4 linked regions of the Canis lupus familiaris genome follow. The protein of the gene in region 3 interacts with the protein of the main gene of each other region in a pairwise test. Links are inferred from orthologs where the notes say so. Each region holds a gene or a part of one and is shown on either strand. Other genes may lie near its edges.

The links.
Region 1: the proteins of HNRNPF (region 3) and HNRNPM interact in binary tests that used the Homo sapiens proteins (3 or more experiments, as listed by UniProt). The two-hybrid records come from large-scale screens. The link is inferred for Canis lupus familiaris from reciprocal best matches to the Homo sapiens genes HNRNPF and HNRNPM.
Region 2: the proteins of HNRNPF (region 3) and C15H1orf94 interact in binary tests that used the Homo sapiens proteins (3 or more experiments, as listed by UniProt). The two-hybrid records come from large-scale screens. The link is inferred for Canis lupus familiaris from reciprocal best matches to the Homo sapiens genes HNRNPF and C1orf94.
Region 4: the proteins of HNRNPF (region 3) and HNRNPUL1 interact in a two-hybrid assay, tested with the Homo sapiens proteins (3 studies listed by BioGRID and IntAct). The link is inferred for Canis lupus familiaris from reciprocal best matches to the Homo sapiens genes HNRNPF and HNRNPUL1.

The regions. Positions count from the first base shown.
Region 1 is NC_049241.1:53,439,352-53,442,564, reverse strand, and holds the end of HNRNPM (heterogeneous nuclear ribonucleoprotein M), read right to left. Parts: coding exon 3,213-3,213; intron 2,627-3,212; coding exon 2,575-2,626; intron 1,047-2,574; coding exon of another isoform or gene 1,033-1,046; exon of another isoform or gene 959-1,032; coding exon 795-958; 3' UTR 533-794; downstream 1-532. UniProt on the Homo sapiens protein: Pre-mRNA binding protein in vivo, binds avidly to poly(G) and poly(U) RNA homopolymers in vitro. Involved in splicing.
Region 2 is NC_049236.1:7,759,734-7,764,062, forward strand, and holds the start of C15H1orf94 (uncharacterized protein C1orf94 homolog), read right to left. Parts: upstream 2,849-4,329; 5' UTR 2,743-2,848; exon of another isoform or gene 2,731-2,742; intron 2,224-2,730; 5' UTR 1,576-2,223; coding exon 1,247-1,575; intron 1-1,246.
Region 3 is NC_049249.1:3,803,272-3,807,521, reverse strand, and holds the start of HNRNPF (heterogeneous nuclear ribonucleoprotein F), read right to left. Parts: upstream 2,838-4,250; 5' UTR 2,750-2,837; intron 2,436-2,749; exon of another isoform or gene 2,430-2,435; 5' UTR 2,365-2,429; intron 1,826-2,364; exon of another isoform or gene 1,681-1,825; intron 1-1,680.
Region 4 is NC_049222.1:113,451,094-113,454,655, forward strand, and holds part of HNRNPUL1 (heterogeneous nuclear ribonucleoprotein U-like protein 1), read right to left. Parts: intron 1,851-3,562; exon of another isoform or gene 1,738-1,850; intron 1,217-1,737; coding exon 1,048-1,216; exon of another isoform or gene 455-1,047; coding exon 170-454; exon of another isoform or gene 1-169.

The sequences.
Region 1 (3,213 bases), on a different chromosome or scaffold from region 3:
AATAGAACCCAGGAATCACAGTCAGCCTAAACCACTACAGGACTAAATATGCTCAGAAACTCGCACCGTGCTTGGTCTGCTGTAGCAAAGAAAAGCTGCCATGGACTGTGTTTTGATCTTGGACTTCCCAGCCTCCAGAACTGAGGAATAAATGTCTGAGTTTATAAGCCCACCCAGCTTATGGTATTTTTGTTATAGCAGCCGAAATAAGACTGTAACAAAAGCCAAACAGGAAATAAGCCTGACGCAATTTCTGTACCCCAAAGAGCAACTGTACAGGAGGGAGAGAGAATGGCTCTCAGGACCAGTAATATCCAAGTGCTTTGTTACCAGCACTGGAGAATTCAAGTCCACTCAGGACTCAGTTTCCATGAGAGTTCTCCTCGAGTGGCCAGGGTCCATGTCCTTCATGCTCAGGAGGAATGGGAATGAGACCCCCCAGTGGTCACAGTTCTAAGGGTAGAAAGAAGACTGGCTTTAGCTCCTCAAACCTCAGGGGGTGCCCCACAACACACACGCAAAAAAGCAAGCATCTTTTCAGGAACTGGTATTTATTATCAAAGTCATATTCGATGTCAACAAGATGCCACAACTACAAAAAAAATTGCGCACATTGCAATCTCAATGCAAACAGTCAAATGGAACCCCGGTCATTAAAAAAGTAATTCAAATTACCCCAAAAAGCAACTGAATTTTTTAAACATCTTTATACATCCAGCCAACAAATTAAAATGGTTAACAAGAAAAAATACAAATTCAGAGGTCTGGTATCGATGTTTAAAAAAGGCAACTGCTTAAGCATTTCTATCGATTCGAACATCAATCTCTCGGCCACTCAGCTTCATCCCATTCATCATCCGGCAGGCTCTCTCAGCCACCTCTGGCGACTCAAACTTAACCACACCGCACCCCTTGGACTTCCCGTTCTCCATCTTGATGTCGGCATACAGCACGTGGCCTGGGCACAGGGAGGGAAGAAGAGACCACAACTCATCAGGCAAACCCAGAGCTCAGCCTCAGTCTGGGCTCCACTCAGTCCAGATCACCTGTTGGATTTCGGTGGACAGAGTCAAAAGGGAGAGCGGCCCTGGCACACAAATGCTCAGAACACAATAGCTGGAATCCAGCGACTATGGCCCTTGGCCATGTTGCCATTCTTCTGCCAACAGAACCACCATCTGACCCATGATAAGCCTTCATGGCAGCTTCAAATGCATACTCATACACTTGAGAAAGTTATAAAGGTGGCTGTGTGAAGCCAACCTTATAGGTGCTTCATCTTCAAGACTTCAGAGTATTTACAAGGCCATCATGAAATAATGGGACATTCTGTATTGTCCACACATAGACTGCATCCTAATTTGAAAGTGGGGTTCACATATTCATTCAAGCACTGATTAAGAATCCAGGTATGTGTCAAGCACCATGAAACAAGTCTATAAGGGAAAGAGTTAAGGACATGACCACGTAGCCCTATGTTAGATGGCCCTCGTTTCTAGAGCCATTAACTCAGCCCAAGGGAAGGTCAACATCTAGAGGGATTCTCAGGACAGTTCTAAAATACTTAAGCTCACCAGAAGGTAAGCTCTCACTACAACAGCTTAAAATAAAGCACTTTTGGAGAATGGCACTTGCAACTCCGGGTTCAGAGACAGGAGAGAGATGAAAAAGGACGGACTAAGTTACAAAGGGACTAGAGTGAGCTTCTCATTAGCAGATGGGCACCTCCAGGCATCTGAGGCAGGAGAGCAGCCTGATCCAACATGACTTTTCAGAATACCTACTACAAACTAAAGAATGGAGAGAGAGCAAGAAGGCACGTATGGCTCAACAGCTGCCCTAAGAGAAGAACCAGGAGAAGCAGCAAAGTGGTGCAATCTGAGCTATCAGTGAAACAGGAAATGAAAAAACACTGAGGAGGCCTTGACCCAGCAAGCCACCTGGACTTGTGGCTTAGGCCTGGGGCTCCCACTTAACATGGTTTAAAGAACAGAGGTGGTGGGAGTCAGGAGCAGGGATTCACCCAGGGACAACTTCACTTCCTTTCAGCCACAAAGTGAGCCTTTCAGAATGGTGGCCTGGTGTGGCCAGAAAACCAAAACCAGAGCCCCTCACCTCATTCACAGACAAGCTCACCCCTGGGAACTTCTGGGTGAGTGCTCTTTGAGGCATGAACCAACAGTACAGTGGTAGAAAGCAACCTCATCTCAGATGTTTTTATTTTACTCAGCTTTGTCACGGAGAAACCATGTGACCTTGGGAACATGACTTTTCCTGACTCATCTGCAAAATGGGGACATCGTCTCCTTTCAAAAACCATAAAAGGAGAAAGATAAGGTTGAAATGAGAACACACATAGGAAGTGTCTGACACATAAGAGGAAACTCAACAACCGGCTTGAATATTTGCACAGGCAGAAAAATGGCAAGTCCCACTGGTCCTTGAGTCACGGCAAGTGGCTGTGAAGACCAGGATGGGAGCTTCGCTGCACCCCACAAATGCATCACTAACAAGCTAAGACTTCTGAAGCCACAACACATGGAAGCACCTAGAAAGCCTTCCTCAAACACTTACCACATTCGTTGAATTTGTCTTTTAGCATCTTCCATGTAAAATCAAATGGGAGCTAAAGGGAAAAGGAAAAACTGATGAGTGATACAACCAAAATCCTAATATCCTAATGCATAAACACCAGGGTCTCTCAGAGAAACTTTCAGGAAATAGGTGATCAGCAGAGAACAAAATACGCCTGTCTGGAATGAGGCTCGAAACCAGCACACCGAGCGTACTCCCTTGTGGCATTATCTCTCTTCAAGAGGACAGTCGCCTGTGGTTAGAGGCCCCAAAACCACTCAACAGTAGCTGAAGGTGGTTAACTTGGTATAAAGATGATACAGATACAGCCCTTTGTCCGTCATGCCCAGGTGTAGTGGCTCTTGCCAAGGGAGTCCAGAAGCTCGGGTTGTTCCTGAGCTCACTCACTGTTGGTTCCACCTAGCAGTCCGATAACCCAGGGCTCCTGATGCACAGTTCATACACTCTCACAGTCCTTCCTTATCCTACTAGCACCAAATTTGGGGGGACAGTAGCAAGGTGGCCTTTTGTATTGCTACCCTTCCTACTGAAGGCACCGACTCTGACTTCAACCTGTCCCCTCACCCTTCCTCCCTTTGTGCCTACCACCACCATCAAGTTGCTGAAGAGCCACTTACA
Region 2 (4,329 bases), on a different chromosome or scaffold from region 3:
CCCGAGGCCCCCTGCCAGGGCTCCATCCCGGAGCAGATGGCAATGGGCAGCAGAGGGGGGGCTCAGCGCCACTGGGGGGCTGGCGGCAGGATTCGGCCAGTAGACGGGCCATTCCCATTCCAGCCGCATGGTGCTGGGCACAGGGCAGGGTGAGCAGTGACAGCCGGGTGCCTTCCACCTTTGTCGGCAGCCCGAGAGGGGACAGCAGGGAGTGCACCTGGGGCACCTGCACACACTTCGCCTTTCTTCCCAGCTCTTTTCTAGAAATCCCCGAAACCAGACATCGTTGGTGATTGCCTGGATGCCCCCCCACCCCACATCCGGCATCTCCGACTTGAACTGGAGCATGTGTTGGAGCAGGCAACACTTAATTATCACTTAGTCTTCAATTAGCACTTAATTATTAACACTTAATCCATCTGTAAAATGGGGACACCAATACCTGCCTCCTAGGGACCCTGGGAGGATTAATTAACGTCTGCAGCCCACTCTGAGGATGCCAGACATGACTGGGGGCTCACAGTGGCACTGACGGCCGTGGCGCTTCGCTCGCTTTTCCTGACGCGCTCTCTCCTTCCTTTCCCTGCGAATTTCCAGCCCCAATCATATCTGCCCAACATTGAGCTCTGTGTTTCCCAGGCACAGGATTCCCCAACTAGGAAAAGGGCTATTTACAGCCATCCTCCCGCACTTTAATTTTCTATTGTGCCCTCTGAATATGTCAATGCCTTCCCAGTAAATATTTTGATGTGCGCTCTTGCAGCGGCTTCTGTGGAGGCTGAATGGGACAGCTGCTCCCTGTATTAGGGAATTCCAGATGTGGTTTAAAACCACCAGACTCATCTGTGACAGTGCCTAGCCTCTGGGAGCGGGAAAGGGAACGTATCGCAGAGCTGCCTGGAGGGAGAGCCACGGGCATCCGACCCTCAGCCTAGGCCGGTGAGGGTTTTCGAGGGCCTCGGATCTACACCTAGGTGGCCTGGGCAAAGGGAAAAACACCAGCCCTTTGTGGGCTGGTCAAGAGGCAGCAGAAATACAGCCCTGGTCTGGCTCTTCACCGGGGAAGCTCAGGATCCTGGTCACCCACCCTATAAAGATTGGACAAAGGACCCCAACAGGTGGAGAGAAGGCATATACAGCCTAAGGGTTTAACCAGACTCAACAACGGGCCAGAACATTCCCCCAGAAGGTCGGACCTCGGCTCCTCCCTCCTCCCTTGGTGCCAGCCACAGACGGGGACACTCACCCTTCTTGGAAGCTGAGCCCGTTGTCTCTCGGAGTCCCAGCCACCGGGGCAGAGAGCTGTTCCTTCACGGTCCTGGGCTGCAAGGCCTCGGGCAGGCCTTGAACTCTTTTCCAGATTTCGTGGCAAGTCTTGTCTAAGCTGTCTTGGGGTGTGTCCTGGTGGATCCAGATGTATCTGGGGAATGGGCCCAGGGCGGAGGGGCGCTTGGCCACCAGGGCTGAGGATGAAGGGAGCCCATTTCCACTGGCCATCCTCCTCCTGTCTTTCCGGAGGCCCCTTCGTCCGCCCAGGGCTTGAAGACAGGGGGACCATCCACCACCACCCCTCATTCACCGGAGAGGGAGATGAGGATGGGCAGACGCAGGTCAGTTCTGCGTGGCTGTTGCTTCAGCAAGGTGGCTGTGCTCAGAGGCCTTCGCGGTGGGTGTGAGGGGAGGATGGAGCACCGCTCTCTTTTGGGGAGGGGGAGCTTATTTTGATTTGCTTTTATTTGCTCTCTTCTGACTTTTGCCCCCCTCCCCCTCTCCCGTAGAAGAAAATATTTGAAAGTCAACAAAAACCAGTAGCTTAGTAACCGTGGAACCCCCCTGAGCTCAGGAACCGGGTGCCTGGGCGGGCAGAATGACATCTGGGAACAGCTGGAGGGGGAGGGCGGGCTCTCCCCGCAGCCCCCGCCGTCCCGTCGCCACGCCCCCGTGACACCTGCAGCCCTCAGCCCAGTCCAGGGCTGGTGGGCAGGTGCTAGGCCAGGGCCCGGCGCAGGTGCTAAGTCAGGGCCCGGTGGGCAGGTGCTGGGTCAGGGCCTGGCGCAGGTGCTAGGCCAGGGCCCGGCGGGCAGTTGCTGGGTCAAGGCCCGGTGCAGGTGCTAGGTCACGGCCTGGCAGGTAGGTGCTGAGTCAGGGCCTGGTGCAGGTGCTGGGTCAAGGCCTGGTGCAGGTGCTAGGTCAGGAACCGGCAGGCAGGTGCTAGGTCATGACCTGGCAGGCAAGTGCTAGGTCAGGGCCCAGGGCAGGTGCTAGGCCAAGGCCCAGGGCAGGTGCTGGGTCAGGGCCTGGGGCAGGTGCTGGGTCAGGGTGCAGGGCAGGTGCTGGGTCAGGGCCTAGGGCAGGTGCTAGGTCAGGGCCTAGGGTAGGTGCTAGGTCAGGGCCCAGGGCAGGTGCTGGGTCAGGGTGCAGGGCAGGTGCTGGGTCAGGGCCCGGGGCAGGTGCTGGGTCAGGGTGCAGGGCAGGTGCTGGGTCAGGGCCTGGGGCAGGTGCTGGGGCAGGGTGCAGGGCAGGTGCTAGGTCAGGGCCTAGGGTAGGTGCTACGTCAGGGCCTGGGGCAGGTGCTGGGTCAGGGCCGGGGGCAGGTGCTAGGCGCGGCAGGGGCGGGGTCAGCCCTCGGGGTCCCGCCCACCGTCCCGGGGCCTCCCAGGGACCCCGCCCCCACGCCCTGGGGCTCCGGACGGCAGACCCCGGGGTGCCCCCCCCCCCCCCCCCCGTTACCCCAGCAGACACCTGCCCGCAGGCCCGCTGCCTGGGCCGACTTTGCCGGCGCCCACACCCTGGGCCCAGCGCCGGGTTCCTCTGCGGCCCAAGCGCAACGGCTCGGAGCGGAGCGCGGGCGCTGGGTTCGGGGTTCGGCGCCCAAGGCCCCCGGGCAGGTGGGGGCGGGGCCGGGACGACCCGGGGGCACCTGCACCTGCACCTGCCCCGTCGCGCCCGCCGCTCATGCACAAGCTCTGCACCTGCCGGGGGCCCTGCCCGGAACCGCCGATGTGGACCCAAACTGACATTTTTGGGGGGCGCTTACCGTGTGCCAAGCTCTGGGCTTCCCGTGTCCTAGCCAACCCACCAAGCTCGTGAAGTTAGTACCTTTGTTACCGGTGGGGCCTGGAGGAAACGCAGTCTGCGGGTCAGAGGGGGTCGGTCCAGAGCCCACCAGGAAGACAGGAGCTGGGATTCACACCCAGGCCCCCACCCTCCAGGCCCCACCCAACCGTCACGGCCTTAGGGATCCCTCCTGAGCTGGGTTCAGCAGGTCCCCAGGGTGGAGGGGGAGCGGGGGGCAGTGGGGTCAGGGGCTCCTGGCCAGAGAGAAGGGCTAGGTTAGCAGTTTGCGGCCCAGTGAGCTCACCTCTCTCCCTGGATGGGCTTCATTAAACTCAGAACTGATGCGGCACTTTGCCTGCCCAGGGCTCCACGGCCCCGGGGGTCAGGGGTCCACCCAGGAAAGGGAGAGCGAGCCAGATGACTGGGAGAAGAGTGGATGGGAAGAGACCAGCCACGGCCACCTCCTGGCTGGGGGGGCCCAACCCCTCTTTTAACCTCCCCTATGCGCCTTCCTTCCTTCATTCCCCAGGATTGGCTGAGCACCCCAGGTGAGATGCGGGCACCGAGGACGCATGCAGGTGAGCAAACTGGCACGGTCCCTGCTCTCCTGAGGCCTGTATTCTAGTGTAAGGAGAAAGATCGCACACTAGCGAAGTAAATAAGCACTAATTACAGACGAAACGAGGGCTCTGACGGAAACTAACCATCACCACGTGTGCCAGTGCCTCGAATTGGGCATAGAAAAGGGAAAGTATCACGGAGTGGCCTCCAGGGAAAGCCACGGGCATCCGACCCTCAGCCTAGGCCAGTGTGGGTTTTCAAGGGCCTTGGATTGACAACTGGGTGGTCCATGCAGAATGAAAAATGTCCCCTTCGTGGGCCAGTAAAGAGGCAGCAGAAATACAGCCCTGGTCTGGCTCTTCACCCGGGGAACCTTAGGACCCTGGTCACCTGTCCTATAAAGACTGGACAAAGGACCCCAACAGGTAGAGGGAAGGCATAGGGGAGGACAGGGGGAGGGGAAAGGTGGCAGCATCAGATGGATGGCCAGGTAGGCCTCCTTGAGGAGCTCAGGTGTAACATTGGAGATGAGACAGAAGGAGAATCCTTTTTTTTTTTTTTTATAAAATGGTGTTGAAAATTCTTATGAAAACCACATTTCTGGCACATAGTAGGCACTCAACAAATACATGTTGGATGAATTAATGCTATATCATTTGTAAAGTACCTGGCATACAGTCGGCGCCCAATACACAGCTTTGCTCTTTAAAG
Region 3 (4,250 bases):
GAGAAAGAGGCGGAGACACAGGCAGAAGAAGAAGCAGGTTCCGTGCAGGGAGCCCAACGTGGGACTTGGTTCCAGGTCTCCAGGATCATACCCTGGGCTAAAGGCGGCGCTAAATCGCTGAGCCACCCGGGCTGCCCTGTAGCAAGACTTTTAAATGAAAACCAGTCACCTGCTAATTTTTTTTTTTAAATTACAGGGACACCTGGCTGGCTCAGCAGTTGAGCGTCTGCCTTTGGCTCAGGGCGTGATCCTGGAGTTCCGGGATCGAGTCCCATATGGGGCTCCCTGTGTGGAGCCTGCTTCTCCCTCTGTCTATGTCTCTCAAGAATAAAAATTTAAAAAGTAATAAAATTTAAAAATTGCCAAAAAAATACCACAAAAACAATGTTAAAATTTTAAAAACTAGGGACGCCTAGGGGGGCTCAGCGGTTGAGGGTCTCTGCCTTCGGCTCAGGGCGTGATCCAAGGACCCAGGATCAAGTCCCACATCGGTCTCCCCCGGTCTCCCCGTGAGGAGCCTGCTTCTCCCTCTGCCTGTGTCTCTGCCTCTCATGAATAAATAAAATCTTTTTAAAAAATTATTTTAAAACCTAAAATAAAAAAGACCTAGTATGTAATAAATCTAATCAAATTACAGAAATGCATACAGGCACAAGAGATGACTAAAGATGGGCTTGCTTAAAGACCAGTAATTAGTAACATCAGCAACCTCTCCCAAACTTCATAAGTAGAAATTTACTCACTTCAAAATGAAGAATCTTGACTAGAAATTAACACTGAAAACATCACTTTTCACTGACATACCCCAACGCATTTTTTTGTCTAACCGGAGAACCCGAAGTATTTTCATTCTTACTAGAAATTCAGAAACCGTTAACCTTTAAAAAAATGACTGTAAGTAATAGAATTACATTTAAGATAGGGAATTTCGACCACGTTTTGAACTGAAAGAGTATCTGAAGTGTTCAGAGCTCTTCCAGCGCCACCAACTTCCGGAGACCTGAGGCGCGGCGTTAACCTTGGGCACCTCGGGGGCCCCCTTCCCGGCGGGCGGTTCCCCCCACTCAGCGAGCCGTAGCTCGCGGACCCCGCTCCCGCCACGCACGCGGCCGCGGGGCAGACAGGAGCCCGGACACCCCCAGGTAGCTGTGAGAGCTAAAGGAAGCACGTTCCTGCGTCCTGAGGCCTCGGGGGAAGGGAACTACTGCGAGGAGAGTCCGGCCGGCGGGCCCGGCCCGAGGGACGCGGGGCGGCGGGGGAGGGGGTTCCTGCTGGAGCTGGGGAAGGGGCTCTCCGGGGTCTGGGGATTTGTCCGGCGAGAACCTGAGAGCTCCTGAAGGGAACAGACCAACAGGGAGGGGCCTGTGGCCTCCTAACCCGGTCTATAAAAGACGGGGTCGGGCGAGTCCCCGGACTCTGCCGGCGTCACCAGGCCGCCCGGCGCCACTTTCAGGGACCCACGCGGGCACACCGAAGGTAGAGGGCGCAGCGCAAGCGCCGGCAGAGTCCAGAAGTTTCTTAGGCGCAGTCAAGAACCAGCAAAAAATACATTCAAGGATACAAAGAAATAAAGGGCAAGGGAAAAAGAAACGGCCGATTAAGCTCGCTCCGCGTAAGTGTGGTCACCCGGCAGAGATAACGAGAACCAAAGAGTTTCTACCCAAAAACCAGACACAATACCTCTAAAAGCAGGAGACAAAACGGAGACCGGCGCTCGGCACTCACACGCCACACCGAGAGGAAGAAAAGGCCTCAAAGACCGAAAGTGGAGGCTCAGCGAGCGGGAACGTGGGAGGGGGGAGGAGTCAGTTGCCAACCAGTCTGGTGCAACTCAACCACGTGAAAGTACTGCTTTCATTTTTAAATGAAGCCCCTCTCCCACGGTCGTCAGGTGCCCTCGCGCTATTTCTGGCAGGGCGCTCAAGCTCTGCTAACCCCGGAGGCCGCACCAGGCCTTTCCTCCCTCCCTGCCTCCCGCGGCCCTGAATCCCAGCCCAGCGGTCCAGTCCCCGAGGGGATGGCTCTTGATCTCAGGCCTGCCTCCCCGCACCCGCGATCTCAGTCCAGGGGTCCAGTCCCCGACTCTACGGCCGTGGACTTCTGACCCCACCTTCCGTGACCCCAATTCTCAGCCCCAGGGGGCCCAGTCCCTGACCTCAGCCCCTGCCTCTCCCGACCCCAACCCTCAGCCCCTGCGTGCCCAATGCCCATTCGGTCCCCGTGGGTGAGGCCCCTGACTTCAGACCTAGCCTCCCCCAAATCCGTATCCCAGCCCCGCCGCCCCCAGCCCAGAGGGCCCGGTTCTCGGTCCGTCCCAGTGGTGCGGCCCTCAGCCTCCGACCCGCCGCCCGTCCCGCCCCTCACCTCGGGCTCCGGGTCTCCACGCTCCCGCTCTTCACATCCGGCACCTCGATCGTCCCTCTGAGCACCTAGAGGAGGGTGGAACGCGGGGAACTTGGCAGTTGTAGCTGAGGCAGTTGAGGCTTGTTTACCATCACCATGGAAACCCCTGGCAGCGCGCCCTGGGCGGGGCCCCGAGGGGCGGGGCCTGGCGCGCGGCCGGCCCCGGCGCACAACTCCCGCCCGTCGGGCGCACGCGGCGTTTCCCGCAGCCCGCTTGCTCCGGGCTCGCCCAGTCCCCGCTCGGCCGCACCCCAGCACCCGAGGGCCGCTGCCCGGAGAGCCCGCGCCCCCACCCCACTTCCGGCTGCTGGCGTGACCGCCGGCCGCTTTCCCCGCGGAACCCCACCTTCTTCTCCAGGAAGACGCGGCGAAGGGCTACTTCCACCACGGAGCCGGAAGGACGCGAGGAGCGCGGCGGGGCGGGGCGGGGCCTCCGCGGCGTGCGTCCAGGGGCGGGGCCGCGAGGGCGCCATTGTGCCGCTCCCGGGGCGGAGCCAGGGATTGGTCTGCGGGGCGCGGGGCAGGGCCGGGGCCTGCGGAAGGGGACGCTGTGGAGAGGAGAGCCGCTGCCTCGCGCCAGCCCTTTCTCAGGGCGGGGGAGGGTCTGACCGCGGCAGCGTTGAGCTCCGGGAGATGCTGACTGGGAGAGTTCCCCCCCTAAACCGGGACCTCAAGGACTCCGGTATTGAAGATCAGCGTGAGAGAAAAAAAAGAGTAATTTCCTGCCAAGGAGAAAATAGGGAACCGAAAACAGCGAGACGGATAAAGGCGGCTCCGATTGCAGAATTTAGGGAAGGAGTAACATGTTCACTGAGGTTGCTCACATGTTGATTACTTGGGCTGAGGAGTCCCCGGTCTCTGAAGGTGACCCAGAAGACCCAAGGGAACACCTGAAACTAAAGGCTGGGTGGAAATGGCTTCCCAGCCTGAGAGCAGTGGAGACTTCTTGATGTGTTCTGGAGTTAGTAATTATCACCATTTTAATTTTTGGAGACTCTTTATAAAGAGGATGAGATCAAGGCATTCATCACAGGTTTCACAGAACAGATTATTTTAAAATCACTGGTTAAATTAAGGGAATGTTTGGAGCAGTGGCAGATTATGAGCGGATGACAGTAAAAAGCAGTTTGTCAAAAGCTGATTCTAGGAAAGAAAAATGGGAAAAGTGAAAGGAAGAGCTGTTAGAGGGGGTGAAAATGTACAAGGAGAAAATTAAAGCAAAATTACTGAAAATGAGTCCTACAAAAATCAGGTAGGTGTTCCCACAAAACTCCACAATGACTTCATCATAGCAGACTGTAGAAAAGTGGTTCTGGAGAGAGAATGCAAGCAGCCAATCTGAGGCAAATATTAAAACGGTAACAAAAAATAGTGCTTCAGAATTAAGGGACTGTGAAGCCAGGTCCAAGAAGATATGTTTATATAGTCCGTTAAGAGAGACTCAAGCTACACGGGCTCTTTGATCCCTTCGAGGGGCTCCCTGTTCATTATTGATCAACAATGCAATAATCCTTTTTTTTAAATTTTACTTATTTATTAATGAGAGAGAGAGACAGACAGAGGCACAGGCAGAGGGAGAAGCAGGCTCCAGGCAGGGAGCCCCACGTGGGGCTCCATCCTGGGTCTCCAGGATCAGGCCCTGAGCTGAAGACGGTGCTAAACCGCTGAGCCACCCGGGCTGCCCAACAATGCAATAATCTTTGAGAGCCTCCCTGAAAGAAAGATTAGAGCCTTGGCCTGATTATGAGCCTCTCTCTGGTCTTGGGAGTAATCCTAGGTGCCTATTAATGTTTTTTTCAGAGATGAGAACCAGCAACATTACAGGTAGACCCTCTTTCACAGTGAGG
Region 4 (3,562 bases), on a different chromosome or scaffold from region 3:
AGGAGAGTTCCCCTGAGGGCCCAGAATTGGACTTGCTGTGGTTCTCCACCAGAATTCAGCCCATAGCTAGTCCTACAGAAGTCTCATCTATTGACTGAGTAAGCAATCACAAAGCCCAACCCTGCTCTGGGAGCCAAAAGCGGAGAGAGCCCTGTTTGAGATGTCTCACCTCCTCGGTAGTTGCCTCCTCCACCGCTACCACCCCCTCGGTTCTGGAAGCCTCCTCGGTTGCCCCCTGGTGGGCCTCTGTTGTCATAGCGCTGGAAGCCTCCACCACCGCCTCGGCCACGGAAGCCACCACCTCCACGGTTGTCAAAGCGCTTTTCAGGGGGTGGCCCAGCCTTGCGACCTTCCTCATTGTACTGTCTCACCAGCTTGTCTGCTTCTTCCCGCTGCAGCTCAATGAACAGCACCTCATCCAGGAAGTCCCCGACGTCTGGCAACGTGAAGTTGGCTAGGAAGAAGTCAGGGCCCCAGAGGGAACAGAGGTCATTATCTTCTGAGGTCTGGTCCCCTACACCCCCAGGACACTGGCCTGCCAGAAGGGAGATGGTAGAGGGGATGAGAAGTGAGTAACAAAGTGAGAAGAGTCTCAATCTTTCTGACAATGATCAAGAGTTAACAAAGACCCTCCTCTCTTCTGAAGAGGTGGCTAAGTGCCACCAAATTTAAACACTCCTTCCAGCCTCCCCAGGAGGTGGGCCAGGCACGTGGAACCAGCATTCTTATTTCTACAGAGGAGGAGACTGAAGCCTGCTCAGTACCCCACTGGTGGTATTGAGTGCGGGGCTCTCACTGTCTTTTCCCACACATCTTCTCCCTCATGCTGCCCCAGCCCCAACTAGTCTGAAAACTGTGCTACAGGACTGCCAGCAGCTCTTCCATTCACAGCTGCACCAGACAAGGAAGGGCAGAACAGGAGTAAGGGAAGAATGGACAAGATCAAAAAAGGAATAAGCCAGGAGCTGGGGAGGAAGGGACTGCGGAAGGAGCTTTTCTCTGGAGGAGCCTGCTGTGCTGGCCCCCTGGGAACGGCTCATCTCCTACCTTTCATTTCTAGGACCGCGTGATCTGGGACATCCTTTCCTTCCTCGTCGGTTCGCTTTATTGTTCGATCTTTTAGGTCCTCATCAGTGGGACAAATTACAATGGCTTTGCGCTGGAAGCCTTCAAATGGTCTCATTTTTCGTCTCTGGGCTGACCCATAAACATTTGTCTACGGGGAGATAACAAAAGAGGCAAGAGATGGTACATTACAACTTGGGCTTTTTCTTGTCAGGTATTATGTAGGCCAGGATTTGAGAAAAGAATGATAGTTCTCCTAAGCAGAAAAACTCAGGAAACTGCTCTTTTTACTGCTCTTAATATTCTTGAGCCAGTCCTCAGAAAATGGGACTTGGGAAAGCGGCTGCTGACAGCTGCTGATAGCTGCTGACAGGACATGGGGAGGTTCCCAATGGTTAGGTTTTTAACTCTTATCTGTTCTTGGTACGCCACTTCATACCCTCTCCCCAATTCCAAAGAAACACAGGCTCATGGTAAAAACTTCAGAGGAATAAGAATTTATTGTTAAGAATCCCTTTATTTGCTTACTGCCATTCCTCCTTCCCAGAGATGACCCGAACTGAATTTATGTATTTCTAGAAAGATCTGTATGAATTTTTTTCTTTCTTAAAGCATTTACTTTGAGATATGATGGAAAAATCTTAGAGGTACACATGGGAAATTGGTCATAGTTAAAATATGGAACGCTTCACGAATCTGCGTGTCATCCTCAAGCAGAGGCCATGGTAATTTTCTCTGTATCGTTCCAATTTTATTTTAGTGTATGTGCTGTTGAAATCAACACAGATTTGTGATTTTTAAGATTTTATTTATTCTAACAATAAATAAATTTAAGAATAAATTTTATTTATTCTATTTTAAGATTTTTTTAAATTTTTTATTTATTCTGAGACACAGAGAGAGAGGCAGAGTCCTAGGCAGAAGGAAAAGCAGGCTCCTTGTAGGGAGCCGAATATGGGACTTGATCCCTGCACCCGGGATCAAGCCCTGAGCTGAAGGCAGACACCAAACTGCTGAGCCATCCAAGCATCCCGATGTGTGTGATTTTTAATACAAATGGAATCATGCTACATACTCTCTGGAAGGCTTTTTTCACTTAATGTTTCTCTAACGTTTTTCTGGGCCAGTGTTCTCTTTTAATGGCTATATAATATTTACAGAATGGTTGCCATAATTAACCAGCCCCTTCTGACAGTTTTGTGGACTGTTTTCATCAACACTGTGGTTCTTTTATTCCCCTAGTCCTTCTCTAAAGCCATCAGGCTTACCCACAGGCTTCTACCCAGAGAGCAGGACAAGGCAACAGCCCATGCTTTTTCACAAGTGCAGTTTTGCTGCTAACGTTCTGTTCCCTTCCTCTAGGTGATGCACAGGTGTGTCCTGGGCTGGTTCTGGCACAAAGTGGTGCTCTAGAACACACCTGACCAAGAGTAGCAGTTGCCAACAGCTTCCATTTACTGAGTACCTTCTATGTGCTCTTTGGAACTGAGACCCAGACCTGTGGCACCCCAGGGCTCACAGATTCAGCCTGTACACCCAAATCACCTGGATGCTACTGGAAAAGAGAATAGCCCTAATGCCACTCAGGAATTACCAAACTCGTTTCTGGAGACGGGACCCAGGCACCATACAGGTATCCTCCCTATCCAAACTTAAGACACTGAAGAGAATTAGGAGTCCTGAGGAATACCTGCTTTTGAAAAAAAAAAAAAAAAATACCTGCTTTTTTTTTTTTTTTTTTTTTAAATACCTGCTTTTGAACAACTTTTAGCGGCTCTGAAAGGGACTCAAGGGAAAAGCCCTTGAGGGGCAGGTACCAAGAGACACAAAAAATACTGTATTTCCATCCTGATAGGGTGGAAAAGCCCAGGGTCAAGTCCTAGTTTGGCCATTAACTCACTCTGGCCAGTCCTTATAGTTGCTTCATCTGTAAATCAGATGAAATGCCTCCCTGCCAGGGCTGCTAAAGACTGAGCGGAAAAGGATAATAGAACAACTGCCCCAAACACAATTAAGACCTTGAGTGGGGTTTCTGAGGCAGCCTCCAGCATGGGAGCTGTCTTGATAGAGGCAGGCAGTGTGTGTGTGGGTGGGTGGCTTGGCATATCCCAACTCTAACCTAAGTTAGAGTGTGGTCAGGTCACACCCCCATGGCCCTGGGTGAACAAGTTCCACTCAACCTACTTGTCTGTAAAATCAACAGACTTTGCATTTAATGAGTCTCAAGCCCTGAAAGGGGAAAATAGTATGAATGTCATATGTTCACTATTAAGACTTCAGGAATTCATGTTGAGTAAAAGCCCTTGGTTAGCCCAGGGCCTGGCTCACAGCCAACATTCAACAAATGGGAGCCACTGTTGTTATGGCTGTTACTGGGGAGGGAGGTATGCCATGGTTAGTCTCACTGTAAAGTAAACGTGAAGTGATCCAGACCAGGGGAAGATCAAATTAATAGTGACTTCCCATCAGAAAGACAGGGACAGAGGGACGACGCCTG